Canis lupus familiaris: one gene and its partners. The protein of the gene in region 2 interacts with the protein of the main gene of each other region in a biochemical or structural test. Links are inferred from orthologs where the notes say so. Each region holds a gene or a part of one and is shown on either strand. Other genes may lie near its edges.

The links. The genes of interacting proteins can lie anywhere in the genome.
Region 1: the proteins of RBX1 (region 2) and UBE2G2 form a complex in vitro, tested with the Homo sapiens proteins (3 studies listed by BioGRID). The link is inferred for Canis lupus familiaris from reciprocal best matches to the Homo sapiens genes RBX1 and UBE2G2.
Region 3: the proteins of RBX1 (region 2) and UBE2R2 form a complex in vitro, tested with the Homo sapiens proteins (10 studies listed by BioGRID). The link is inferred for Canis lupus familiaris from reciprocal best matches to the Homo sapiens genes RBX1 and UBE2R2.

Annotation. Positions count from the first base shown.
Region 1 is NC_049252.1:38,406,247-38,415,789, forward strand, and holds the start of UBE2G2 (ubiquitin-conjugating enzyme E2 G2), read right to left. Parts: upstream 4,426-9,543; 5' UTR 4,343-4,425; coding exon 4,300-4,342; intron 3,886-4,299; exon of another isoform or gene 3,871-3,885; coding exon of another isoform or gene 3,855-3,870; intron 3,677-3,854; exon of another isoform or gene 3,449-3,676; intron 2,964-3,448; exon of another isoform or gene 2,681-2,963; intron 1-2,680. Other genes in the region: SUMO3 (small ubiquitin-related modifier 3), read right to left, coding at 7,433-7,510. UniProt on the Homo sapiens protein: Accepts ubiquitin from the E1 complex and catalyzes its covalent attachment to other proteins. In vitro catalyzes 'Lys-48'-linked polyubiquitination. Involved in endoplasmic reticulum-associated degradation (ERAD).
Region 2 is NC_049231.1:25,232,053-25,241,579, reverse strand, and holds the start of RBX1 (E3 ubiquitin-protein ligase RBX1), read left to right. Parts: upstream 1-2,732; 5' UTR 2,733-2,814; coding exon 2,815-2,892; intron 2,893-4,801; coding exon 4,802-4,880; intron 4,881-9,527. UniProt on the Homo sapiens protein: E3 ubiquitin ligase component of multiple cullin-RING-based E3 ubiquitin-protein ligase (CRLs) complexes which mediate the ubiquitination and subsequent proteasomal degradation of target proteins, including proteins involved in cell cycle progression, signal transduction, transcription and transcription-coupled nucleotide excision repair.
Region 3 is NC_049232.1:50,786,721-50,796,263, reverse strand, and holds the start of UBE2R2 (ubiquitin-conjugating enzyme E2 R2), read right to left. Parts: upstream 4,930-9,543; 5' UTR 4,533-4,929; coding exon 4,356-4,532; intron 4,202-4,355; exon of another isoform or gene 3,938-4,201; intron 1-3,937. UniProt on the Homo sapiens protein: E2 ubiquitin-conjugating enzyme that accepts ubiquitin from an E1 ubiquitin-activating protein, and catalyzes its covalent attachment to other proteins by an E3 ubiquitin-protein ligase complex.

The DNA of each region.
Region 1 (9,543 bases), on a different chromosome or scaffold from region 2:
GGATCACGGGAAGGCTCCGTGACTGTATCACACTCCGGATACAGACCTTGCATAAAGTGCTCAGAGAAAGTTGTGAGAACACACCTGTGTGAGTCCATCTCAATTATTAAGTACAACAGGCAAAAATACACAGTATGTTGCTTAGAAGTATACTAAGCAGTAAGAAGACAGAGAAGAGGAAAGGAACCAGTCAGCAAATTTCAGCAGCAGTAACTTGCAGGGCTGGAGGGAAGGAGCCCGAAGATTTCTAAGTTAACTGCTAGTGCTGATTCCTAAGTTGGGTGCCGCGGGTACAGATGTCCATTCACTTTTCATCTGAACATACACATTTACTCTTACACAATTCCCTTCATAATAAAGAGTTGTTATGAGAAGCTCAAAAGACATATTGCCAGGAAAGAGGACAGTAACCAGAAGGACACGTGGAGTCCGGGGGTTCAGAGGAGGTTTCTCCAGGGGGGAGCAGGGCATGAGTGCTGGGGGTGCTACCCAGGGGAGACATGCGCCCATGACCCGGCCAGTCGGGGTGGCAGTGCAGGGGACCGATGAACCGAGAGGCAGGGGTCATCGCCAGGACTTTGGCTCTTGCCGCCACGAAGGGTCCTGGGCAGAGGGACGTGACCTGATGAGCTTTAATGGCATCTTCTGCTGTGCTGAGGACAGAACAAAGTGGGACAAGAGCAGAAGCAGAAAACCTGTCAGGACCGTCCCGGCAGTCATCCAGGCCACAGGTGAGTGGCATGGACCGTGTGGGTCTCCAGGACGACAGGTGACATGTGAATATAAAACAAAAGGAGTCATCAAGGGCAAAAGGGCAAATCTAAGGTTTCGAGCCCAGAAAACCGGAGGGCTGTGGCGGCCAGCAACTGAGACACAGACACTGTGGGAGCAGCACTGCGAAGGGAGGAGCACGTGCCCAGTTCTGCACGTTCACGTCCGAGGCTACTCCACATGGCACGAGGCTGCGTGTGTCCCCCAGAATCTGTGCGTGGGACCTTGTCTGCGCATGCACTCCAGGAAAAATGGGGTCACGCTGGAGTGGGGTGAGTCCTACCACTGACTGGCACCTCCCTCGGGGAAGACGGCCAAGCCACGACGACGGCTGAGATGGGAGTTACGCGGCCCCCAGCCAAGGAACAGCAGGAACTCCTGGCAACCACCAGGAGCTGCAAGAGGCCAGGATGGATTCTTCCCGAAAGCCCCCAGGGTGTGGCCGTGCCAACAGGCGACCTGGACCTGGGCCTTCGGGCCTCCAGACAGAGAGACAACAAACTTCTGTTTTGTTAAGCCACTCGGCCTGCGCTCCTTTGTTAAAGGAGACCCCCCCAAACCAATACCTAACTCTATTTTTGACACTTCTCGGAAAGGCTGGATGCTGTGTGACAAGAAAACATCAAGAAAAGATCCCATTTAAAATACATAAGTTCTGGGGCGCCTGGGTGGCTCAAACGTTGAGTGTCTGCCTTTGGCTCGGGTCATGATCTCTGGGTCCTGGGATCGAGTCCCAGTCACGCTCCCTGCTCAGGGGAGAGTCTGCTTCTCCCTCTGCCTCCGCTCCTGTGCTCGCTCACTTTCTCTAACAAATATATAAAATATTTAAAAAATAAAATAAAATATATGGGTTTAGGACAGCTAGATGGTCCAGTCAGTTAACTGTCCAACTCTTGATCTCAGTTCAGGTCTTGATCACAGGGTCAAAAGTTCAAGCCCCACACTGAGTTCCATGCTGGATGTGGAGCCTACTTTAAAATAAATTAAAAAAAAAAAAAAAAATCTCGGTTCTTTTTCTAACACCTTTTTCCTGGTCCTAAGAACGTAGGCAAATCATTTTGCCTTTAATTTTTTTTTTTTTTTGTCATTTTGCCTTTATTACTCAATTTCCTGCAAAATGTGAAAAACCAGAGGCTGAACAGAATCCTAGCCAAGGTTCCACCACCACCCCTAAAATTCTACAGTTCTGGGACTATTCCCCAACATGAAAAATATCCCTGAACCCTATCCCAATAATCTACTAAAGTACATTCAGGGATGCCTGGGGGGCTCAGTGGTTGAGCGTCTGCCTTCAGCTCAGGGGTGTGACCCTACAGTCCTGGGATCGAGTCCCACGTCGGGCTCCCGGTACATGGAGCCTGCTTCTCCCTCTGCCTGTGTCTCTGCCTCTCCCTCTTTTTCTCATGAATAAATAAAGAAACCCCATTTCACAGAGAGATTGTTTCTATAAAATCCACATTTACAATGGATATGTCACCCGTACGGTAAGACCAACTAGAGGCTAATTCACAAAAGAGGAGGATCATGAAATGGAATTTTATGTTTCTGAGATCCAGCAACAACAGAACTCCCCTCAGAGACACAGTTTCCATTCTCTACTGCTGTCACCACAAACTCAACGCTTAAAACACCACCCACTGCTGACCTTACAGTCTCCATATGTCGGAAGAGGGAGGCAGTTCTGTGCCTCGAGTCTTACAAGGCAATCAAGGCAGGTGTCCCCCCAAACTCATTCAGGCTCCAGGCAGAACCCGGGTCCCTGCCGCTGTGGGACGGAGGCTCCAGGATCCCGAGCGCCAGCACCCAGCAGTCAGTCCCAGGTGCCGCGGGCCACCCCGTGCTTCTGTTCCTGGCCATGTGTGCATCCTCCCAGCCAGCCACAGCAGGGGGGCCTCCCCTCCCGCCTCACCTCTCCTGCCTTCCTCCAGGGTCTCAGCTCCTCCTGTGATTTTGGGGTCAGACCCCAACGATCCAGGCTAACCTCCCTCCCTGTAAGTCAGCTCTCCTGGAACCTGTGCGTTACGCCTTTCACGGCAGCGCTGGATTTGCGTCTGATGGGATGAGTAGGGGCCAGCAAGCCGAGGGGGCATCTTCAGGGCTGTGCCTTCCACAGATACCCCAGAATGCCACACAAACACGTGTAAAAACGCGCACGTCACAGTTCTGCGATACAGACGTGGAAGTCAGCTATTCTCTGCGTCTTATTGCTGCAAACCTACAGCAGGGTCGGACTCACAGACGAGGTTTTTGTGGATACGGTACAAGGAAAAGCACTCTTTGCTGACGCGAACATCCTCAGGAAACGCAGCTGGACAAGGCAGAGTCTGCGCCCGAGCGGCGGCCCGGACCCGATTCCGTCCCCACAGACGGGAGAGAGTAAGGCCTGGCCGCAGAGTGGAGGCCGCCGGGCTGCACGACTACACCCAGCAGGCGGCAGGGCCGGCAGGTGCCCCCTGCGCTGCGCCCCCCGGCCCGTGTCCCGCGGCCACCCCGCCCCTGCCCACCCTGGCCCCGCATCTCCTGCACGTGCCCCTGTCCCTGCCGCAGAGGGCACTGGGCCGGGCAGAAGGTAACCAAGCATCTCTTCTAAGGGCCCCCCCCCATCCCTGCTCCCGCCGGACGCGAGGCTCCCCGAGCCGGGCCGTCTGCTGAGGGACTGAGCTCCGCGCACATTTACCAGCCACTTTAGTGTGTTTCCGACTTCCCTCTGCAAGTCTCCCCGCCGGGCCGGCGCCGCGGTAAGAGCAGCAGCCTGCAGGGCCTCCGCCCGGGGGAGCCGGGGCCGCTGGAGGCCAGGGGGAGGGCCAGGGGGAGGGCCACGGGGAGGGCCCGGCCGCACGAGCAGCTCGGAGCCACCCGCAGGCCCGCGGCAGCCCCGCCGGCAGCTCCTCCGAGGGAACGTGCCGCTGCGAAGCGGCAGGACACGGGCCGTCCTGGGCTCTGGTCCTGGGCTCCGGCCTCTCCCTTCGCGTCCCCAAACATCCCCACACGCTACACGCTGCTGGCTCGGGAGGCACCGAGCGGTCCCGAGCTCGGCCCGGGGAGGGGGAGGGGGAGGGGGAGGGGGAGGGGGCGGGCCTCACCCCAACGCGGCCCCATCAGGCGGGGCCCCTCTGACCTGTCCCCTCGGGCGCGTCACAATGCGCGGCTCCCGTTTCTCTCGAGCAGTTTCGGCTCCACCTTCCCGGCGGCCCCCCCGCCCCCGCCCCCGGCCGCCCTGTCCTCCCGCCGACGGGGGCGGAGGGTCTCGAGGCGGCCCCCCCGCCGCAGCCCCAGCCCCAGCCCCAGCCCCAGCCCGGGGCCAACCCCCCGGCCCCCTCCGCCCCGGGGCCTGACCCAGGGCTTCGCGACGCGGCCGGGACACGGGGCCGCCGGGACCCCAGAGAGGACCAGGCCGGGGGGGCAGAGGGTCACGGGGTCAGGGGTGAGGGCAGGGACCAGGCGCGGGGATGGGGGCGGGAGGTCGGGAGGGGCCGGGGCCGGGGCGCGGGCGGGCGGCGGGGGCGGGGGCGGGGGGCGCGCACTCACGCTTGTACTCGGCCATCAGCCTCTTGAGCGCCGTCCCCGCCATCGTCCGGGCGACAGCCGAGCGGTCCGCCGGCCCCGAGCGCGCTCGCTCCCGCCCGCCGCAGGGCCGCTTCCGGGTCGCCGCGGGCGCAGAAGCCCTTCCGGGGCGCGGGACGCGGGGGCGCCTGCGCGGTGGGGCGGGCGGCGGGGGGCTGCGCAGGCGCGGTGGCCGCGACGTCCCGCCCGCGGGGTCCCCGAGGCAGCGGCTCCCCGGCGCCGGGTCCCTGCGGCTGAGCCGCGGGCGGGGACGCGGGCCCGGGACGGAGGGTCACGCGGGCCCCGGGGCGGGGGAGGGCCGCGGAGGACGGGGTCGGCCGCCTGTTACATCACGGGGGGGCGGGGGCCAGGGAGGGACACGGAGGCCGGGGCGGGGGCGGCGGGGCGGATCGCGTCTGTGCTGCACGTTCTTGGATCACGTCCCCGTGGGGAGGGGCTCAGCGGTCGGCGCCGCCTCCGGCCCAGGGCGTGACCCCGGGTCCCGGGTCCCGGGATCGAGGCCCGCGTCGGCCCTGCGTGGGGCCTGCGCCTCCCCGCGCCTCCCCGCGCCTGGGTCTCGGCGTCTCTCTCTCCCCCCTCCCTGTGTCTCTCCCGAATAAGTAAATGACCATGTTAAGAGGCTGAAGACCCGCTGGTCGGTTCCCACAGGCTCCCCTGGCGTGTCGGCCGGGCCCGGCGCAGTCAAGGCAGGAGGCGCGGGGAGCAGCTGCCGGACGTCCCTGGGCCTCGGGCCGGACCCGCCCGCGGACCGCGAAGGCCCCTCCCGCCGGCCTGGCCCCGCAGGACCCGATTGCCCAGACCCCCGCGTCCTCAGAGAGGTGCAAAGCGGCAAAGGCCTGCTCGTGCCTGCTCGTGCCTGCTCGTGCCTGCTCGTGCTCACCTGCTGCCCGGGTGAGGGGAGGGCCTGGGTCCCGTCGCTACCCCATCGGGCTCCCTGCCCCTCCGGCTTGTCCGCTGTGGGGAGCAGTGGGCCGCGGGTCCCCTAGTGATATGGTGGCTCCGTCCCCACTGACCCCGGGGATCTGGGATCTGGGACGCGCCGGTGCTTCTCAGAACCCGGGTCTTCCTGACCTCAAAGGGAGTGACCCCAGGTCGCGCTCTGCGGCTCCGCCACGCAAACACCTGTGCACCGTTAGAGGCGTCCTCAGCTCCAGACCGTCCGCGCGCCGCCTCGGCCTCCATACCCTCCCACAGAATCCACCGTGTGATGTTCTGTAGGATCCATTGCGTCCTTGGTTTATTGTCATCACGGGCCTCCTGCAACCTGAAAACCCGTCCCGAGGGCAAGGAGCGGCCCCTGCTCGTGGATGCAGCTGCAGTAGGCGGCCGGCAGGCGGCATCGCTGAACTGGGCCAAATTTAAGAAGGGGGGGGGGGACTCAGGCCTTCAGCCCAGGGCGTGACCCAGAGGCCGGGGTGGAGCCCACGTCCCTCCCCGCAGGGAGCCTGCTTCTCCCTCTGCCTGTGTCTCTGCCTCTCTCTGTGTGTCTCAGGAATAAATGAACAAAATCTTAAAAAACAAAAAACAATGCAAAGCAGCCTCCGAGGTCTGTGTCTGTCAGGGCCGAGGCCTAGAGAACCGTGGTCCAGCACTGACTTCACAGAAGTGAGTGGGATGCAGTGCACAAAGGAAAAGAGTCTTTAGGTTCAAACAACAAAAACCTTGAGAAGCCCTGACTAACGTGCACGTTCACGCGCCCCACAACGCGCCCCCCATACCCGGGACCCCAGGAGAGGCGAGGTCGTGATGCCCGGTGGGCGCAGCCAAGGCCGGGGCACTGCAGCCGATGCAGCCGTGGGCAGGAAACCCAGGCCTGGCACGGGCGACCTGCGGCGTGCAGAGGGTTCAGGGACATACCCACTCCTCCCCACCCGGGCTCAGGATGCCAGTGGCCGCCCCAGTGGCTGGCCCGGACACGGAACGGGGACAGTCCACCCCCTCGGCCACACGCAGCGTGTAATCCAAGCCCAGAGACAGAATAGCAAACTATATTTACTGTTTACAGTAGCAAAGGACAACAAATCATGTACAAATTGGTGAATAAACAGAACAGAGCCAGCCGACCTCCCACCCTCGCCCGGACAGCAGAACACAAAGGAAACGCAAAGGCCTTCGGCAAGATTTCAGGCAGGTGAGGGACGATGTCGCAGTCCTGCTCGGGGACTAGGACCAGCAGCAGGTGGTGCGCACGCAGCAGCAGGAGAAGCAGCCGTGTAACTGGTACAGAACGAAATCACGTCCTAAAGCGTACACCCCACACCTACTGGGAAAGCAGCGCAGCCCACGTCCACGAGGGCAACGCCAAGTCACCGCTGCAGGGGCTCCACCGCCAACACACTCTGAGGCAGGTCTTTCACGCAAAAACAGCTGCAAACTCAGCAGTGCTGAATCCAGATTTTGTAGAGAGACCTTAACTGCCCAGAGGAGAAACGGGCAGCCACGGCCCCAGGGCCCAGTGAGATGCGTGGGGGTGGCTTCCTTCTCCATCGGGGCCAAGGGTCTGAAAGACCTGCTTATTTTCCTTTTCACCTTTTAAAAAGCCTTCCAGTATTTTCCCTCTGACTTTACTATTTCCTGAAATGCAGTATTTACCATTTCAAATACCTGTGCCTGTATGACATCGTGAGATTGTTTCCCATCCCCAAACCGGCCCCAAAACTCGTCCAACAGCAGCAGCCCCTCTGTGGTGCCATGAGGTCTCCACTGGAATAAACAGTGGGGTGGCGGTGGGGGTGGGGGGGTCAACACCTGGGGTCAGATCCCCATCTAGACTAAAAGTGGACATTCAGACCACACATTTGGGGGCAAAAGTTAGAGGGAGGAAAAAACAAAAATGAAAGCAAACGAACCCCAAAACCCTCACCACTCCTTTCCCCCCAACAAAGACAAGTGTGACTGGCCTGACTTCAGCTGTGGGCGCCCTCCCCCCGCAGAGTTCTGAGTTGCCCTTGCGAAACGTCAGAGAGGAAAGTAATTCTGGTGACTGTCCTCGGGTTTCCGCAGACTCCTCTGTGATTGGCATGGTCACGGGTTCACTATTCCACAGCAGGTGCGAGCACGAGGACACGTGGGGACGGTCCCTGCAGAGGCGGCACCCTTAGGGCCAGCCGCTCTCCCGCGCGCCTCCTGTCTGCTGCTGGAACACATCGATGGTGTCCTCGTCCTCCATCTCCAGCTGGCGGGGGTGCGGCAGCGAGAGAGGGAGAGCAGTTAGTTTCCTGGGATCCCAGAACGCGCCACGCTCACCTGGACGACTCTGCAGGTTCACTGCGCTGTCCCCTCCCTCTGGCCCCCCCCCCCCCCCCCCCCCCCCCCCGGGAACACCATCCCCACCACACCTGTCCTCAGGTGCACCGTGCCGGGACAGCGCTCGGCTGGGATTTCCAACAAGCCCGTTCACCCACCAAGATGCTCACAGAACTCACAAAAGGATATTCGGAGCTAAGGACTCGGATAGAAAAGCAGCCTCTGGGGCGCCTGCCTGGCTCAGTCTTAAAGAATGAGACTCGTGAGCTCGGGGTCATGAGTTCAAGCCCCATGCTATGTATACAGATGACTTAAAAAATAATGAAACCTTTAGAAAGAAAAAATGAGTCTTATTTAAAAACAAGCATCCGGGATCCCTGGGTGGCACAGCAGTTTGGTGCCTGCCTTTGGCCCGGGGTGTGATCCTGGAGACCCGGGATCGAATCCCACGTCAGGCTCCCGGTGCATGGAGCCTGCTTCTCCCTCTGCCCCCTCTCTCTCTCTCTCTCTCTGTGACTATTATAAATAAATAAAAGTTTAAAAAAAAAAAACAAGCATCCAAAATTTTTACCGAACTTTACACAAAATCGTGTTCCACTGAGGAGCACGTAACAGGTGCCGTGGATTCTTCATGACAAGTGCAAGGATCGTGCCTGTGGACTCCAAAGCAAGCCCCGTCACACAAGGAGGATGTGCTAAAGTGAGGGACACGCTGGCTCTGCCCACTGCACCCCTTCCTGCCCTTCACGACCATGGGAGGGATGGTGCAAACGGCTTTCCCTTTCTGGCACAGGGAGCACACGTCTACCCTGATCTCTGTCCATCCTCTGAACAAAAGGAAGCTTCTCTGCCGATTCAGACTAGAGGCTGGAAGCAGTCCCGGGTCCCAGGGACATTCTCAGAGGGGACTGGGGTAGGGCTGGGAGGGCAGGGCCCCTCTCCGGCTCAGACACCCCGGGCAGCAGCCAGATGACAGGCAGGAGGGGGAGCCCGGGTGCCCCTCCACCTCCCCCCCCCCCGCCCCCAGGAAACTCCCGCAGCCCAGCGCCCATGTGAGCAGTGTGAGGGTCCCCAGGGCAGCACACAGGCCCTCCCCCCGCAGCTCAGAGCCCATGTGAGCAGGGTGAGGGTCCCCAGAGCAGCACACATGGCCTCCCCCCTGCAGCCCAGCACCCACATGAGCTGGGTGAGAGTCGCCAGGGCGGCACACACGGCCTCCTCCCGCAGCCCAGAGCCCATGTGAGCAGGGTGAGGGTCCCCAGAGCAGCACACACAGCCTGCCCCCTCCCCCTGCAGCTCAGAGCCCGTCTGAGCAGGGTGAGGTCCCCAGGGTGGCGCACCCAGCCTCTTGCTGCGTGGTGCTGTCACGTGAACTGATCAGACTGATGCTCACAGCTCCTTGCAGGACAGAAACAGGCGTCCTCCCCACTTTACTGACGGAGAAGACGGAGGCTCAAGGGTGGGTGGCTCTGGATCACGATCCGACAACGGCCACAGCCCCACTGCACTCCTGCTCCAGGCCCGAAGCCCCGTCACCCCAGCGTGAGGCGCAGCAACGGGGTGGGCGTGTGGTGGGCAGCAAGCAAACACCGCGTGACTGAGGATGACGGCCCGTCCCTTCCGCCCACACCCTGAAGGGCACAAGATCGGGCCAGCGATGTGGCTGCAATCCAGTGTCCAGATCCGAGGGGTGGGCGCCGGGAGGGGCGGCAGGAGCGGGGGACATGGCCAGGCCTGGTAGTGGACCCCGGGGCCCCCTGCTCGGCCCGCGGCCCTCCGCCCCGGCCCCCAGCACGGAGCAGGATGTCTGACCAAGTGCATTTTTCTCATTTGAAAAACTGAACTCCAACATTTAAAAATTCAATAGCCTAATAGTTGAAAACCATGAAGACATGAAGACAGGAGCCCCGAGAGCAGCGTTCGGAGCAGCGCGGCCGAGGGCAGTGGCCCCGCGCGGGCCGC
Region 2 (9,527 bases):
CTTTTCCTCTAAGAAGACTTCCTCACTACCCACCCCCCCACACAGACCCACTTTCTGTTTCACAGTACCCCAAACTTCCCTTTTCCTAAAATTCATTGGAATGATCAATAATTGACTTGCCTCTCTGCTAGTATACCATAAGAGCAATGATGAAAGGGGCCTTTTGCAAATACTTTTAAAAGCAATTGCCTTTTTACCTAGATTAGCATGGGGTATTGACATAGCAGGTTCTTTTTTTTTTTTTAAGATTTTATTTATTTATTCATGAGAGACACACAGAGAGAGAGGCAGAGACATAGGCAGAGGGAGAAGCAGTCTCCCTCTGGGGAACCTGATGTGGGACTCGATCCCAGAACCCCAGGATCATAACTTGAGCTGAAGGCAGACGCTCAACCACTGAGCCACCTAGGCATCCCTGACACAGCAGGTTCTATAGATATTTTAGAAATATTTGAATGAGTGGATGGATGAGAGTAAAATTACAACCTATTACATTGTAAGCTGAGTGAAATTATGAAGAAAGATGGGAATCTGTATGAAATCTACAAAAAGTTTTCTTAGGTTTATGCAGTAGAGTCCAGGGTACTGAACATCATGGACAATCACCACGCCAAGGCAAATCTCCAAAGGAGAGATCAGTACATGAGGTTTTCATAGCTTAATGGAACAGCCCCTAAGATCATACTTCTCCCCACTGTAGCTCTATACAAAGCCATCAACTTGCCAAATGTTGCTGCTTCCTCTCCTGTATCCCTATAATCCCTTCCTCGCAAAGCTTAAAAACTTAAAAAAAATTTTTTTTTGTCACTGTTAGTCCCTTCCCCTAGTTTAAACCCTCCAACACCTTCCCATAATATCTGTAGATCCCTACCTGATCTGGCCTCTGCCTGTCTGTCTGACACCTCTTACCACAATCTCCTTGCTCCATAAGCTTCAACTTTGTTCATTCAACACATGCTGAGCCCTGCCCTGTACAAGGCACTGTATTGTTACCAATAAACAAAACAACAACAACAAAATCCCCTCTTGGTGAGGACACACAAAAGACAATAAACCTGATAAATAAGTAAATAAAAACCATGTTAGATTATGTGTACCATTTCCTAAAAATGAAGACAATGTATTAAATGAATGGGTAACAGATCATGCAGGATCTTTTAGGCCCTTGTAAGGACTTCAGCTGCAATGTCACTCCTCATAGAGACCTTACCTAATCACACACAATTCTCCCTTCAATTTCATGATATCTTTTTGTCTTCTTAATAGCACTTATTGATACCTGAGGATGGTTTTTTTTCCTCCCCAATGTATTTGCTTACTTGTGTATTATTTCTCTACCAGGAATTTGTTCATCACCGTGTCTCTCCAATTTATAACACGATCTCATACATACTCAATGAATTTGTTTAATGAAGGTTAAATATACACTTAATACGTTAACTTACTATGGGTTTTTAGTATCCCGTAGGGGCCTTTGGGAACACAATCAATTAGATGACAAGAATCTTAACATGGAATTATCACTCTAACAAAATTTGGGCTAAGGAAAACTTTGTAGGGTTCCTGTAACGTTTTAAGGTCTCACACAATTTTTCTCTTTCCAAGTCTGGTGTAAGCCCTGGTGGTGTTTTCATGGATTTGTTGTTCCTGTTTATGACTAAGGCAAGGAAACAAATCGCAGTTCTTCCGGTTTGGCAGTGGAGTCCATACACTCCATTATGCTCCAATTTTCTTTCAAGAGAAAATACGAGATTCCAAATAAGCCAATACGAGATTTAGGAGTGATCTAGCCGAGTCATACCTCTGCAGGGTTAGAGAGCCACAAGGGGTTCCGGGTGCAGACATGAAGTACAGGTGCTTTGGCTGGGAACGACCAGTAAGAATCAATGGCCAAACGCCTCACACAAAGTCAAGTAGGACTGCAGTGTGCCCACGGCGCAAGGAGCGGGAAGAGGATGGAGATCAGGGAGAGGGGACCCCCACAGTTAGGTGGCCAACTGAGGAACAGGAAAGGTGTGTTAAGAGTATGTGAAACTGAAACCCTGCGCCTTAACCAAAGGGCATTCTAGCACGGATGGCGTTTGGGGCGGGCGGGCGGCGGCATCCCCGAGGCTCCAGGTGGGCAGGTTGAGGCAGGACGGGAGAATGCCTACGCGGCTGGGCCCTGGAGAGGACATTCGGGGAGCTCCCGGCTCCCTGTCGAATCCCGAGCATTTCCCGAATCGGAATCAGGGACCTAACGGCGCCTGGGCCCGGCTTTCCCAGCGAGGCTGCACGTCGGGCCTGGCTCGGAAGCGAGCCGAGACCCGCGACACTGCGGGGTCTCCGGTTTCGGCTGCAGGAGGCGGGGCGCCCGCCCTGGCCGCTCCCCGGGCGGAACGCTGCGGAAGACCCGCCGGCGCTGGAGCGGTGCGGCAGCGGGGAAGGCGGGGCGGGGCCGGGGCGGCAGGTCGCGGCCGAGGCGGAGGAAGCAGCCGCCGCCCCAGCCGAGGGAGCGCGGCCGGGGGCTTCCCGCGGGAGGAGACTAGTCTTTCGAGCGTTTCCACCCGGTTCGAGCACGTCGGCTCGGCCCCGCCCGGCCCCGCCCCGGCCACCGCCTCTTCCCCAGCCGACTCGGGGGCCGGCGGCAGGAAGGAGGAGGGAGGGACCTGCGCCAGCGCCTTTAAGAGGCGTGGCCACGTGCTCCGCCCCCACCTGCCCCTCGCGCGCCAGTAAGGGGCGGGGTGCGAGAGGAGGTGCCGGGCCGGGAGGGGGAGCGAGGCGTGCGCTGGTGCGCAGGCGCAGTGGCCGGACGACGGACCGTGTGTTTCCAAAATGGCGGCAGCGATGGATGTGGATACCCCGAGCGGCACCAACAGCGGCGCGGGCAAGAAGCGCTTTGAAGTGAAAAAGGTTGGGTCTCGCCAGCGCCTTCCTCAGAGAGGCTAGAGAGGCGCGGATCTGGCTGGCAGGCCCGAGGATGACCGAGGCGCGGAGGAAAGGGCTTCATTTCAGGGCGTTCCTGGGACCGGGTACCAGGAAAGGAAGCTGGGGGGCGGGTCTTAGAGTTGATCGGCGTGACTGGGGCCCACTACCAATGGCAGTATTGGTTTCACTAGGAGTCTGAGGGGCCAATCACAGAGGCGCTTGTTGAGATGCGCGGGGTTGAGACTTGGCTGAGGGAGCCAAGCGCCTGAGCTGTCACTGGAGTGGTGGAGGGGTGGGGAGGAGTGGGTGGGGTGGATGGAAGGGGGAGTCGGAGCGCTGCGGTGGGTGGAGGATGGGGGCAGTGCGGCGAAAGCCGGGACCTGAGTTCCTACCGCAGTGGAGGCCTTTGAGGAGCCCGGCTGGTGATCTCCTTGCCCCGCCCCTTCCCGAAGCTCGGGGTCCCTCTGACTCTGAGGGACCCCAGCCTGGTCCTCGCCTCCTCGAGGCCTCCCTCAGCCCTCTCTCTAGTCCTCGCCCCCGCCGAGTTAAAGTGTCTCCAGTGTAACAACTCTTGGCTCTTCTGAGAGGTCTGTTGGTTTGTCACACAGCCTCCACAGTCCTGTGCTCGTTTCCAGAATCCCTCTGTCCAAAAAGGAAAAGGGGGGGGGGGGGGGGAAAGCATGGTGGAATTTGTTAAAAAGAAAATGCGAGCCCAAACCTTGTGTCATTTAGGAAGGGTTGAGTACTAGTGGCGAACGACCTGGTGACTGTGGGAAAGCAAAAATGTGGAACGTGTCTTTTTGCATGAACTGCTTTATAGTGGTTTGCCAACAGTTTGGGAGGAAAGTGCCGATTCTCACATGATATAAAATAAATCTGTTCAAAATGAAGACTCAAATAGGGGAAATGTTATTCCTGGAACATCTGGCTAAACACTGACAATATTCCCCCCTCCTAGTGCTTTTTTGGTGTTTCATTGTGGGCACTGCATGCTCAGTTACAGCCAGCAGCCATATTGAAGAATAGAAATAGGGTTTTGTTGTGTTTTTTTTTTTTTTTCCCCCGTTCAAGTTGAAGCTGTCGGAAAGTGCTAAAGAAGTTTAACTAGACGGGGAATTGCGTTCGAAAGAGATGAAGGTTTTGGAAGTGGCACCAAATTGGTGGATGAAAAGGGAGTTTGGGGATATTTATAATTGCAGAAGCCAGAAAGGTTGAATTACTTAAATACCGCTTTTAAATGAACTCTTAAGTGGAATTATCTGAACTAAATAGGAGCCTGAGCTTGTAAAAGTTTAGAACACCAGTTTATTTGATGGAAGGAACTAACCAAAATTTTAGTGAATTCTAGAATTTGTTGTGAAATAATCTTGTGAGATTTAAGTGATGACCTTGCTCTGTACTGACACTGGATAATTAGTTATCCAGCTTATCCCACGATTACCCATTTTATGATCCAATCATCATCTTAGTTCATTCTGTCCCCAGCTTTCACCTCCCCACTCATACCTTCACAGCTGCCTTGAAGAGCGTATATTTACCTTTGCAGAAATTCAAATTTGTGCTTATTAAGCCTAAAACAGGCTCTCAAAAATTATTCCCGGTTTTCTTACATTGATACAGTTGACTAAATTATTGTAAGCTGTAGGAGAAAATAAAGAGGATTCATTAATTTATGTTCATATACTCAGCCTTTTGGAAAATGGGTGAGCACACTTGTAGTCTGCTGTTGCCCTCTGATAAAATGAATAAGAGTAAGGTAATATCCCCAAGCTCCTGTGTCTGGTGGTCCTTGTGGCCAAAGAGATGATAACTGTAGCTGCAGCATGAAATCCTAGAGTGTGTGTACGCCTGTGTTACAAGGAGAGTGCATTGTTCCCCCTTTTTCTCTTTGCAGTGGAATGCAGTAGCTCTCTGGGCCTGGGATATTGTGGTTGATAACTGTGCCATCTGCAGGAACCACATTATGGATCTTTGTAAGTAACTGGAGGTGGATGGGAGGAAGTTGAGAAGGTTACAGAGATTGTGGCTATTCTGATGTGACCAAATTTCTTCCCAAGGAGATATAAAGCATAGTCAGAACACTTGGTGTCTTCTGCCTCTAGTCCGTTGGTATGTTTGAAATAGAGTAGATTTAATGATATCCTGGAGACATACTCATCTCTCAGAATAAATCTACTCAGTCTAAAGATGGCAAGCACACATTTAGAATGAGTTGTGGACACAGAGGCACTGTTGATTATTCCTCTATATTTCCCATCTCATACCCAGACTCAAAGGCAAAAATAGTGAAAGGAAAAAAAAAAAATAAACTTTGAGCTAAAATATTCTACCAAAGCTAGTTTTTGCTTGGCAAGATTTATAAAGAAAAGAAGCCAAAGAAGTAAGGAATTTCAGTGTTAGCCCCTAAGTTAAGAGGACATCGGTGCCAGCATCTAAATAGACAACTAATTGCAGTAAAGAAGTTTCATTTAAATCTACAGATTCCATCCCATATAGTAGCCAGTATATGGTGGGTTTGATTATAGCTATCCGTGGACTCCGTGTCCTTATAGTAATAGGGGCAAGTATGTTGATCACACCAGGAACAGCTGAGGTTACTTTTTCTTCCAGGTACTGAAATGGTTTGTTACAGAGATCAGATATGAGATGAAGAAATTTCAGCTTTGTAGAGTTGCATTTACAGGCACTTACTTTGAAAATTACTCACCTGCCTCTCCAGCTTCATCTTGCACCACTCTCCTGCTCACTCTGGTAGTTTCTTTGGCTTTCTTTCCATTCTCGAAGTGTCCGTGCTCTTTTTTAGAGCCTTTAATATGCCCTGTTCCCTTTGCCTGGAATATTCCCCTTCTCCCCACTACCTTTGCCTGACCCACTACTGTCCAATCTAAATATGAGCCACAAATGCAAGTACATACATAATTTAAATTTTTCTGGTACCCACATCAAAATAAAAAGAAACAGATGATTTCTATTTTATTTATCCTACTATATCCAAGAAAATTTCATTTCAACATGTAAATATTTTAAAGTGAACTATTTTACATTCTGTTTTTGGTACTATTTGAAGTGTACTTACACTTAAAGCGCATCTCAGTTCAGACTAGCCACATTTCAAGTGCTCACAGCCACATGTGGCTAGTGGTTACTTTATTGGACGATGTGGAACTAATCCGTAGTTGATCTTTAGATCTCACCTTGAACTAGCTCAGAGACGTGTTCCCTGGCCATACTTAAATACGCACAGACTATGATGGTTCCATTAAATATTCCCAAGACCGTCTATACTTTCCTTGGTAGTATTTAATTTAGTTGGTTCTCAATCATATCTATGTTTTTAACTGCTCTACTCCCAGCATAGTGTCTAGTACATAATAGGTTCTTGCTAAATACTTGTCAGTGAATAATTAAAATACAAAATAGAAGAATAGTCTGTGATCATTGCAACTTGGAAAGCCCCAATCAAATATCATGTATTGATAGTTTATTGCCCTTTGTTTCTTTGAGTTTTGACCCTGTTTACCTTTTCACACAACAGTCAAAGCAGACAGCAGCTACCATGATGTTTAATATAGATAGAAGAAACCCATCACAGAAAAACACATGCACAGTTTTAAATGTGTTTGGGTGGGGTCTTTGATTACATGCTTGCCAATTTTGTTGCTTTACATTTTCGTAAGGAGTTGTGCCCAAAGCAAATTTTATTTTCTTGGTCTCTCTTCTGTAAATAGTTAATGATTTCAAATAACCCTGCTTGGGTTTTTTTTCCTGCTTCTATATTTAAGTTATTTTGTGTCTCTCTGGATGCAAGAGAATGTGCTTTTTGGGAGGAGCACCACAGATAAAGGCTATTGATACTCTCTCTTAGAGTTGAACTCTTGAGGGATCAATGTAGGTCTTCAGTTAGACTCCTGTCTGTTTTATCATATATTTTAAATGTTAGGTGAAGTAGAATAATTGAACTCTTTTTTTTCTTTAAGTAGGCCCCAACGTAGGGCTTGAACCCACAACCCTGAGCCTGAGGGTCTGATACTCTGCTGACTGAGCCAGCCAGACACCCCAGAATATTGAACTTTTACAACAAGAAATTATAAAAGCATTTTCAAGTCATTCATTTATTTAGTTTTAATTGATAAAACAGTTTATTATTTTTATTTCTTAAGGTTTTAATTCCAGTTAACATACACCATAATATTAGTTTCAGGTGTACAATATAGTAACTCAACGTTTCCATATATCACCCGGTGCTCATCATGACAAGTGTACTCCTTAATCTCCATCACCTATTTAACCCATCCCCCTACCCACCACCCGTCTGGTAGCCATCAGATTGTTCTCTATAATTAAGAGTCTGTTTTTTATAATTAAGAGTCCTGTCTTTTATTCATGCAATGAATACTCACATCCTGGGCATTTTGCTAGGCACCAGGATAAAACAATGACTGAGATCAAGTTTTTACTTTAAGAAACATAACCTTTTGTTTATTACAGACACTAAAGAGAAGTCTGGTTGCCACAACTGGGTTTGTCTTCCTTTAAAAAAATAAATGGATTCTGGGATCCCTGGGTGGCGCAGCGGTTTGGCGCCTGCCTTTGGCCCAGGGCGCGATCCTGGAGACCCGGGATCGAATCCCACATCGGGCTCCCGGTGCATGGAGCCTGCTTCTCCCTCTGCCTGTGTCTCTGCCTCTCTCTCTCTCTGTGACTATCATAAATAAATAAAAATTTTAAAAAAATTTATAAAAAAAAAAAAATAAATGGATTCTGATTCTTATAAAAAGACTTTTTGTTAAAGCTGAAAATAAGAATCTTGATTTAGCAATGGCCATTTTCTAATAAATTCTGGCCTGGCATTAAGTGAATAATTATATACATAGCTATAAATAAATAAGAGTGATTATGGTTGTGCCCAATTGAGAATGTTTGGTCTGAAGACTTCCTGTTTTGAGTCAAAATTGATACTACATGCCCTAGTCTAGCTTTGTATTTATTGTACATTGCCCCATTTCTTTGTTGTTCTAAAGAGTTGCTGAAATGCACAATATTTCTAGGTTTTCTCCATTACCTCAGATAATCTTGTTCCAAATGAAAAGGGCATCCAGAAGGGCTTAGACCCAGCCTTTGCCCGTGAGAAATTAGCCTCTTCCTAAACCATAGGTCCATATCCCTCTTTTAAAGTGAAATCTGGGCAGCCCAGGTAGCTCAGTGGTTTAGTGCCGCTGTCAGCCCAGGGCCTAATCCTGGAGACCCGGGATCGAGTCCCACATCGGGCTCCCTGCATGGAGCCTGCTTCTCCCTCTGCGTGTGTCTCTGCCCGTCTGTGTGTGTGTGTGTCTCATGAATAAATAAATAAAATCTTAAAAAAAAAAAAAGTGAAATCTGTCCGTTTCTGAGATGAAGCCATTGCTTCCTTGGCAGTCCTTTGGTGGTAATGCTCTTGTATTGAAATTTAAAAGTCCCCAAGCTTTATGTATCACATGCATTAAGCCTCTGCCTTTGTAGGGGTATGATAGGAACCATCATGTGCTATTTGTTTTGGCTGCTCTAGGTTGACAGTGAACAGTTACTTTTCCTGTTTAAATGAAGGACTCAACTCCTGTACTCACTCTGCACCAACAGCTCAAGAATGTTTTCTATTTGAAAACATTTTACACTCATATTTAATCATTTTCCATGCCATTTCCTTTCTTATGTGGCATTCTAGATTGCAGTCCTATCCCTTCTATATATTTTTGTTCTTTGTTAGGAATTATCAGGTAAAAAATACATATGTATTTGGTCCCCATTCACTCTGTAGAAGTGGTTTTGTTTGCTTATTCAACTACCTAGAGCCTACTTTGCACTTGGCATAAAAAGACAGAGTCCCTTAAAAATACCTTGACCTAGACAAATTTATGTACTTTGAAATAGTTGTTATTTATTTCAATAATTATGCCTCTTACTTAGCTAATGTCATAATACCCTGGCCTCATCTGAGAGGCTCCAACCTGAAGGACATCAGATTTTATATTCTCTACTTTTCGGTCATAGCCCCAGTAAATACTTGAATATACTCCATAGACCCTTCTTTACTCCTATCAGAAGGAAAACCTAGTTAATCTCTTTGTAGTGTGAATCTGGTAGCAAAAGGAAGTCCTGTGATTTCAGATCTTTGCCTTTCATGTTTTTAAGGCGTAGAAAAAAAAAATTCTTATGGCATATCTCTTCCCCAAAGATCAAATAGACCCATTCAAGTCTCAGTATTATTTGCATACTGTTTTACTGTTTCCCACCTATGGAAGTTTGAGGTAATTGTCTCCTATTAAATAGTCTTTCCCAAAACTTTTTACTCTTCAAATGGGAAACTCCATTTAGTTACCACCTTCAGAGAAAGCAAATTAGACATTACTAATTCCTGTTCCTTGAATATTTATCCCCAGTAGAGCTTTACTCATCAGTTCTTGATCTCAGTCAGATTTGTATTCTATTTAAATTCCCTTCTCCTCCACCTCTATGAAATTGATACTTGGATATATTTGCCATAATGTACTCTGTTCACCAGACAGAATCTGGTGAACAGAGATGATAAGCATCTCTGTTCATCCCTTACGACCTCAGGGATGATGGTAAGCATCACCACGTGG
Region 3 (9,543 bases), on a different chromosome or scaffold from region 2:
GGGAGAAGCAGGCTCCACGCAGGGAGCCCGACGTGGGACAGGATCCGGGTCTCCAGGATCACACCCTGTGCCGAAGGCGGGGCCAAACCGCAGGGCCACCGGGGCTGCCCTAAGAAACACTTTCATAAAATAATTGTTTCAACTACATATTAGGAATTAAGAGTCACAAAACACAGTATGTCATAATATTAAGGACACTGCCAGGCCCAAATGTTAAATTTCGCAGGGTTTTGTTTTTGTTTTTTGAGAGGGGGCAAGAAATAGATTTATTTATTCCAGAATAAATGAAAATAATATGTATCTGTTAGTTTTACAAATTATTAAATGGTTTTTTTAAAAGATTTTATTTATCTGAGTGAGCAAGAGAAAGAGCTCAAGCAGCGGGGAGGGAAGAGGGAGAAACAGACTCCCCACTGAGCAGAAGATTTGATCCCAGGACCCTGGGATTATGACCTGAGCTGAAGGCACTTAACCGACCGAGCCACCCAGGCGCCCCTGAAAAGTTTCTTTATCAGACTTACATTTTGATTTCTATTAAAGAAGCTGATTATGGAAAACTTTTAGTATATGACAAATACTTTTCTAAATTATCAGTTTGAAGTTTTCCAAAAATGGAAGAACCTATATTTATTTCACTTTCTCAATACAATTATTGAATAAAGGGACAGCTGGGTGGCTCAGCGGTTAGTGCCTGCCTTCCGCCCAGCCCAGGGTGTGATTCCACGGTTCCGGGATGGAGTCCCACATCAGGCTCCCTGCATGGAGTCTGCTTCTCTCTCTGCTTGTGTCTCCGCCTCTCTATCTTTCATGAATATATAAATAAAATCTTAAAAATATATATATATTGAATAAAAACAAAAACTACAAAAAGTTAACTGCAATATTTTAAGTTTTCTGTATCATTTAAACTTTTATACTATGAACATTATGAAAAAGACACTTTTTCTTTCAAAGTAATCTCTCCACCCAACATGGGCCTCGAACTCACCACTCTGAAATCAAGAGTCACATGCTCTACCGACTGTGCCAGCCACGAACCCCTAAGCACTCTCTTTTTTCTGATCTCTAGACTCCACCCTACCACGCTTTCAGATAAATAATGCAGGAGGAGTTCCAAAGAACCTCCCAAAGAGATTCTCTTCTATACCTAAGCAGCCATACTGTTATAATCATTAGCAGGAGTTATTTGAAAAGATAGTGCTTTTTATTTTTTTTTTATATTTTATTTATTTATTCATGATAGACACGGAGAGAGGCAGAGAAGCAGGCAGAGGGAGAAGCAGGCTCGCTAAACCGCTGAGCCACCCAGGGATCCCCAAGATAGTGCTTTAAAAAAAAAAAAAAAGATTTTATTTATGTATTCATGAGAGACACAGAGAGAGAGGTAGAGACACAGGCAGAGGGAGAAGCAGGCTCCATCCAGGGAGCCCGACGTGGGACTAGATCCCAGGTCTCCAGGATCACACCCTGGGCTGAAGGCGGCGCTAAACCGCTGAGGCACCTGGGCTGCCCAAGATAGTGCTTTTTAAATGAATGGAGTGAATTTGTTAAAAGTTATCATTAACTGCTCACTTGATCAACAATTCATTCGTCCAATAACATAATAAAATTCCAACTCGCTCCACAGTAGCAAAATTAAATTCAGAGGTGTTCTCTATTCCAAGTCATCTCATACTTTGCGTTTTGTAACAATTGACCCCTAGAGGAAAAGTAGAAGCAACAAAGATGTTTCACTCAGCAAGTCCAAAAGATCAAGAAACTGGACAAAAACCAAAGCCAAAAAAAGATTTTATAAAAAAAAATTTTTAAAAAAAGATTTTATGATATCCAGAAAAACAGGCACAAGAAACTACCTTTACCCGTCATACATGCTACCCATCTTAGCCCCATAGCTAAGAAACACAGACTTGAAATACTTAAAAAACAAAGGTTATGATGAACTGAAAAAAATTTGTGAAATACAGGTCTCACCAATCTCTACCACAACGGATGCCATAGTTAAAACAGCCTGGAGCCAAGGATTTCATGTAAAGAAAGATCAGTAAGAAACCTATTAATATGTGAAAGTTAAAGGAGTAACATGAAAAATTCAGTCCCACTGCCTTCAGGAACTATTATGCAAAACAGAGGAAACAATTTAACTTGAAAATAAATTATACTAAATATTCAAAAACTATCATTTGATATGGTAGAACAGTGGTGGAAAAAGGTCTGTGCCAACTTTTAACTGCAGCTGTAGTGGAACACACTAAAAGCCTTGTTTTATGACAAAAGCAGTGAAATAAAAAAAAACAATGGTTTTAGACCTACCACCAGTGTTAACTACTCATGACCATAAATTTGCCTTTTTCTAACAAAAGACTTTTGGGATAAAAAGCCATCTAACAAGGAATAAAACAAAATGACAGAATTTTTATACAACAGTAAATCCTAAGAATTTTCATGTTTTTAAATGTCACAATTAAAGGTAAAAAGATTAAGAAATCTAAAATATACATTGAAATTCAACCATCTTTTCTTAATACGACAGAAATTACAAAACATTTAACTGAAATCAATGTTTGCCATAGTAGGGAATCCTCTTCCCATAGTACTTATTTCAAACACAGAGGATTCTCCACAATCCTTTTCCTGCTACTTAAGCAAAAATATTACAATTTGCAACTATTAATTCCTTTGACACTGCTTTTTTTTTTAAAAAAACAGTGAGGTGGAAGTATTCTAATTAGTACCCATTCACCTTGACTATTAATTGTCCCAACTAATACTTTACGGGAATTAAACTTTGTCACTTAAGTTAGCCAGTAGACACATTAATATCTTCTTCACTTTGTCACTAATAACTTTGCCTTAGTAGCTGCATCTAAAAGGTATAGTTTATGGTGACCACAAGAGATTAAGCACATAGTTAGTAAAAGTACTGCTCTTACACAATATTCTAAAAATGTGCTTTTACTAGGTATTCACAGACTACCACAAGCGTGACTATTAAACATCAACCCCCACCCCCGTCAATTCTTCACATTTTTACAAAGTTGACCCAATTTCAAAGCTGACACTGAAGGTTCTCTACCTTTAGAAGGATAGAAAAAAGTAATTGGGTAGTTCCTAAAAATGTACATCATGACTACGTGACTAAGATATTCATTTAAAACTTATGCCAAGATAGCCCCTCCCTTCAAAACAAAGATTGACTCACTGCTCTATTTTACTTAATTTTGGAAATAAAATTAAATGGATTCCCTAGCACTTATTTCCTGTCTCTGCCTCCACCACTTAAAGCATTCTACCTTCAATCTATGACTTGTCCCTACAAAATTGGTAAAGTAAAAACAAAAACAAACTCAATATTGCCAAGTTATCTTAGAATTTAAAAAAAGGGGGGGGGAATAAAAAAAAAAAAAAGAAAACCACTGGATTCAGGAACAATCACTGTTCCAAAATCAGGAGGGGGACTAAGGATCAGTCCCTCTCAGTGAAACCAACTCACCTCAGATGATACTTTTCATCTGTGAGACCACCCCATTTGCTAGAGCTAACCACCTGAATAAAAACGTTTCAATTCTGTCTCCCTGAGGTGGGAAACTCGCAACCTCCCTACAGAACACGTTCCACGGTCTGCAGATATTTCTACATTGGGGGGGGGGGGGGAGCCAGTAAAGTTGGTGGCAGGGTGAGGACAAAGGGCATTTTGAAATACCACTGAAGTAAACAGAGAAAGAGAACAGAAAGGAGGCTAAATTAGCGTTCCCTCAAGTAGATAATGGGATGAAAACGCAGGCATCCTTGTTTACCACCCCTAGGGTCCTATTCATTACCGCCCACTGGAATGCGAAGTTGGAACTACCACCACGCAAGAAGCCCATCACATCCTCAAAGTGTCAGGTCACTAGAGAGCCTTTGTGATGACAGGTTAATACCCTTCCCCCACCCTCACCCCCCAAAAAAAGAAAGGTTCAATCCAATAAGTGCAGGTCACTCTGCCCTCTGGGGCAGTTCCAGCCGGCGCGGTGACGGTTCTGATGGGCATACGAGAGGGGAAAGACCACCTTTCTTTCCCACACACCCTCCTCAGCTGGGAAAACAAAACAAAGACAGCCCTCCTCCTCCGGTAGCCACTACCCTAGCCAGAGAGGCTTTCCTATTTCCCGGTGCAGTCTGGCCTCCAGCCCCCGCCCCCATGACAAAGAAAAGGCACTTGGTGAGCAAGGCCTTCCTGCTTCCACGGATGGGGGGAGGGGGCTGCCGAGGTGAGGAGCCCCCTATACACACTCGCGCTCACTCTTGGCCCAGGAAGCGGCGGGGAGCGGAGGCCTCCGCCCGGGGAAGCATGGCCTGGGAGGGGGCAGGGGTACCTTGAAGTAGCCGCCTTCGTAGAGGGTGTTGGGGGGTCCGAAGATGGCAACCTCCCAGTTGTAGAGGTCGGACTCATCCACCAGGGTGATCCGGAAGCCTTCCACCGGCTCCTCCTGCAGGGATTTCAGCTCGAGCATCAGGGCCTTCTGCGAGCTGGTCATCTGCTGCTGGGCCATCGCGGCGGCGCCGGGCCGGAGCCCCAGTCCTCTCGCACCGGCCGGGCCGGACGAGGCCCCTCCCCTGCGCTCGCCCTCCGCCGGGCCGCACCGGGCCCCTGTCTTCACACACCCCGCGGGCCGGACCAGGCCCCAGACGGCCCGTGGGCCGGCCCGGGTCCTCCTCACACACGACGCGGGCCGGGCCTTTTTCCTCACACTCGGGCCAGGTGGGGGGAGGGGCTGAGGGAGTTAGGGGAATTCGCTCCCGGTCCCGGGCCTCCCCCCCCCGGAGGGGGCCTCAACTTGGCTGGGGGGGGGAGAGGGGGTGGAAGCGGAGGAGAGCGGCGAAGGGCCGGCGATGGTGAGGGGAGGGGGCCGAGCCGGCCCGGGAGCGCCGCGCTCGCTCGCCCTCTCGTTCTCCTCAGGGGCTGCCGGGGCCGAAGGGCGCGCGGGGCCGGAGGGCGGGGGGAGCGCGGCGCGCTGGGGTCTCGCGGCGGCGACGGCGACGGCGGCGGCGGCGGCGGCGGCGGCGGCGGCGACGGCTGCGCGGGGGGAGGGGCGACGACGGAGGAGGAGGAGAAGAGCGAGAGCGCCTCGCGCCGCGGGAGCGACGGAGCCAAGAAGAAGGAGGGAGGGAGAGCGGGAGGAGGGGCGCGCGCCGGGAGGGAGGGCGGCTCTCGGAGGCGGGCGGCCAGACGCGCGTGCGCACGCCCCTCCCTCCGCCGCCCTCCTCTCCCTCCGCTCCCTCCCCCGCCCTCCTCCTCTCACTTCCCCGCCTCCTCCCTGCCGCCCGGCGCGGTGGCGGCGCTTTGTGACGCCGACGCGTGTCCCCCGCCCTTAAAGGGCCAAGCTGCTGTGAGGGCCGAGGGTAGTCGCGGGGGATGCCCTTGGCCCAAAAATGACAGTTGTGCCGCTGGGCGCCGCGGTTCCTAGGGAGCTCCGGGGAACGGGACCACTGGCCCTAGAGCTGTCGGCGCCTTCCCTTTTCCTCTCCCCATGTGTAGCCACAGGCTTCGGCAGCCATCCTCCGTCGAACCCTGGTCCTCTGCAGGCCTCTCCCCGTGACACAAAGTCCTTGCCCCGGCCCTGCACTTAATAGGTCCTTGCCAAGAATACGCTGAGCTAGTAAGTCTTATCGGTGGGGACAAGTGTCCCGACATATCTTGTTTACATATCAAGCCCATGTGTCCTTGGAGGGCAGTGTGCCACCCCGGGGGGGGGGGGGGGGGGGGGGGGGGGGGGGGGGGGGGGAGCCGATTCCCATCCGAGAAATGGGGAAGGCAGATAGGCCGCTGCTACTTCTCTTCATGACTACGGAAAGGAAGTTGCGGGAAATAAAGAGAGAAGTAATAATGCAGACTAAACCTGGGTTTCTGACGCTTCTCTGTGATTTGGGGCAAGTGCTCTAGCTATCCCTCAGTTATTTGTAAAATGAAGTACTATGGGGGGGGGGGGTTAGGTACCTGGCTGGCTCACTTGGTGGAGCATGTGACCCTTGATCTCGGAATTGTGAGTTCAAGACCCGCCTTGTTGTAGCGATTACTTAAAAATAAAATCTTAGGGATCCCTGGGTGGCACAGCGGTTTGGCGCCTGCCTTTGGCCCAGGGCGCGATCCTGGAGACCCGGGATCGAATCCCACGTCGGGCTCCCGGTGCATGGAGCCTGCTTCTCCCTCTGCCTGGGTCTCTGCCTCTCTCTCTCTCTCTCTGTGACTATCATACATAAATAAAAATAAAAAATAAAATAAAATCTTAAAAGGAAAATATTGTGATTGAACTTTGACCCCCTATAGATCCTTTCAGCTAGACGGTCCAACTAGGAACTGAGGGACTTTTAAGATAATCATAACTTAAGTGAGATACGGAGACAGTCTTAAATCCTCATGATTTTAGGATAGCCCGTTCGTTCTCTTGGGAAGGCATGTCCTATGATAACTGCTGAAACAATTCCTAGTAAAGTCAGGATACTATGAGAGTTCCACACATTTAGAATTTTGAGATCAAAAAGATTCTAAGTTCCAACCCTGGCTCTACCACTTATCCATTCCTTATTCATCAGCTTCTGTAACAAAGGGTTAATTATACCCAACTTAAACTATTGTAAATATTAAATGAGATCATCTGTTTACAGCATTTGACACAATGACTAGCACATGATAAATGATCCATAAATAGGAACTTTAAAGAAAGAAAAAAAATTTAAGGCATAGGTATATTCTGACTACCACCCCCTCTATGGTTCTGACTCCCCTTCCTCCACCATTCAATTTAGGGACAAGAAGATTGCTGACCTGGAAATGTGGGAGATGATGTTGACACCTTTAATAACAAGGATGTGAGTAGACAAATAGGCAGAAAGTTCATCTTCAAAGCATTTCACCCTCATAAACTCATCACAGTCCCACCCTGACCCAGAAGATGGTAAATTCTTAGCCCAATCCACTGGAACAGGTACCTGTCAGCTAGACCAGAAGCTGCTCATAGTAAATATCTGCAATGACTATGGCCCTAATAACCTAAGGTGGTTGGCTAATAAACATATACCCGTCTAGAAGGCTCATAGCCTAATGTGTTAGTTAATAAGATGTGTACTTAAGGTTCTTCATTCTCACCTCAGAGGAACTCTAGAATCTAATGTCTCATGCCTTTTCATCCTAGCAGGTAAGACATTGTTTGTTAGTACGGTGCAACTGTGTCTTATTCATGCCATGGATCCACAGCAACCAGTACATTGTTTGACCCAAAGTAGACACTAAGTAATTGTTCTCATGGGCTTACAGCCAAGAGCAGGAAAACAATCAGTAACAACAACAACAAGTTGAACCTCACCCTCCACCCCCATGTCTAATAGAACCTCTCCAACACATAGTAGGTGCTCAAGATTATAAATTCCATAAGGTTGGCAGGTCTTGTTTATACAAGCTCTTTTTTTATATATACAAGCTACTACAATGTTTGGCATGTTATAGGTATTCAAAATATATTTGTCAGAAGAATGAGTGGCAGAAACAGCTTCCTAGAGCTTTCTCATAGTGTTTTATAATGACAGGTCAATGATTTGACTGATTGGTGCCCTCTGGTGGTAAAGAAAACGGGACACACGCCTTCAGTCTGTATGGCATCACCTGGTGCTCTTCAAGAGAGGGCTCTCTTGAAGAATTCTTTCTTCCAAAGAGAAATGATATGGAAATCTTGAAAGATAAATGAGAGGTAGGGGTATTTGCTTTAGAGTGGTTAATTCTCACCTTATATAATGCCTTTTTTTAGGAGACCAATTTTTTTTTCATTCTATGTATGTTAACACATGGAAGTCAAATAGTGCTCTTAAGGAGCCACAATCTTTCTCTCTCTCTCTCTTTTTTAAAGATTTCACTTATTTATGAAATTATGTTTCCTGAGAAACAGAGAGGGAGAGGCAGAGACACAGGCAGAGGGAGAAGCAGGCTCCATGCAGGGAGCCCGACGTAGGACTCGATCCTGGGGACTCCAGGATCATGGCCTGGGCGGAAGGCGGCGCTAAATTGCTGAGCCACCCAGGCTGCCCAATCTTTCTCAATAATAGCTGACATTTGCTGTGCATCAGTATGTGACAGGCTCTTTACAAGCAGTATCCTATTTAATTCTCAAAAAAATCCATGACATCCATACTAGAACATCTGTTTTCCTGGGTATAATAAGATTTAGAAAGGTTAAGAAGGTTATCAAGGTTATGCAGTAGGTAAATGGTAGAACCCGGAGTTGAACCTTGGCCATCCCACCTAAGTGTAACTGCTCTTTTCTTTTTTTCCAGGATTTCAGAAGTTTATTTATTAGGGAGGGAAGAGGTATAAAGAAACTTCAGTTATCTGATACAAGCTCAGTAGGGGCAGGTCTCTGTCACTATCACACACAAGGAGGGATGAATTGCAAGAGGAGGATTTTCATGATGGAGAGAAAAGAAGATACCCTCTTTGGAATCCAAGTACACTCAGCTAGTATTTTCCATCATTTTGGAACCTAATTTTCCCATGAGACTTCCTAAAGGAAAGAATCAGAATCAACATTTCATGAATAAAATGCCAGAACTACAAAAACTCTTTAAAATTATTTTATCTATCATCCTTATTTTTTATTTAAGGAAGCTAAGAGCCAGAGCATAAAGGGAAGGGCCACATACAAAAGTCAGGTTATTGGATTTCTTACCCAGTTATCCTTCCATGATTCTTTTTTTTTTTTTAGTATTTTTTTTTATTTTTTATTTATTTATGATAGTCACAGAGAGAGAGAGAGAGGGGCAGAGACATAGGCAGAGGGAGAAGCAGGCTCCATGCACCGGGAGCCCGATGTGGGATTCGATCCTGGGTCTCCAGAATCGCGCCCTGGGCCAAAGGCAGGCGCCAAACTGCTGCGCCACCCAGGGATCCCTCCTTCCATGATTCTTTTCTTTGTTTTTTAATTTAAATTCTTTGCCATCATATAACACCCAGTGCTCATCACATCCCGTGTCCTCTTTTCTTTAAAACTATTTTATTTATTTATTCATGAGAGACATAGAGAGTGAGGCAGAGACATAGGCAGGAAGAGAAGCAGGCTCCATGCAGGAAGCCTGATATGGGACTTGATCCCTGGACTCCAGGATCACACTCCAAGCCAAAGGCAAGCAGGCACCCAACCACTGAGCCACCCAGGTGTTCCTCGTGTCCTCTTTAATGCCCGAAGTGTGGCTGTCTTAACCAAAGTACTGTAATATTCCTAAGCTAATATGCCCATAGCAATCCATGCATATCATATCACCTCCATGCTATATTGCAATTATTTGTTTACATCTTTCTCCCAGCCTCTCAGGTGCTCTTAAGAAAGAGCCATTCATTCACTCAACAAATATTTTTTGAGTGCCTGCTAGGTGACAGGCCCTATGCTAAATACCAAGGATACAGTAATGAACGAGTTGGAAATTATTTAGTTATGCCTTCAAGGAGCTTACATTCTAGTTGCTGAGACTTAATCACACAAAAACAAGTAATTACTAGATAAATAATATCATTGCAAG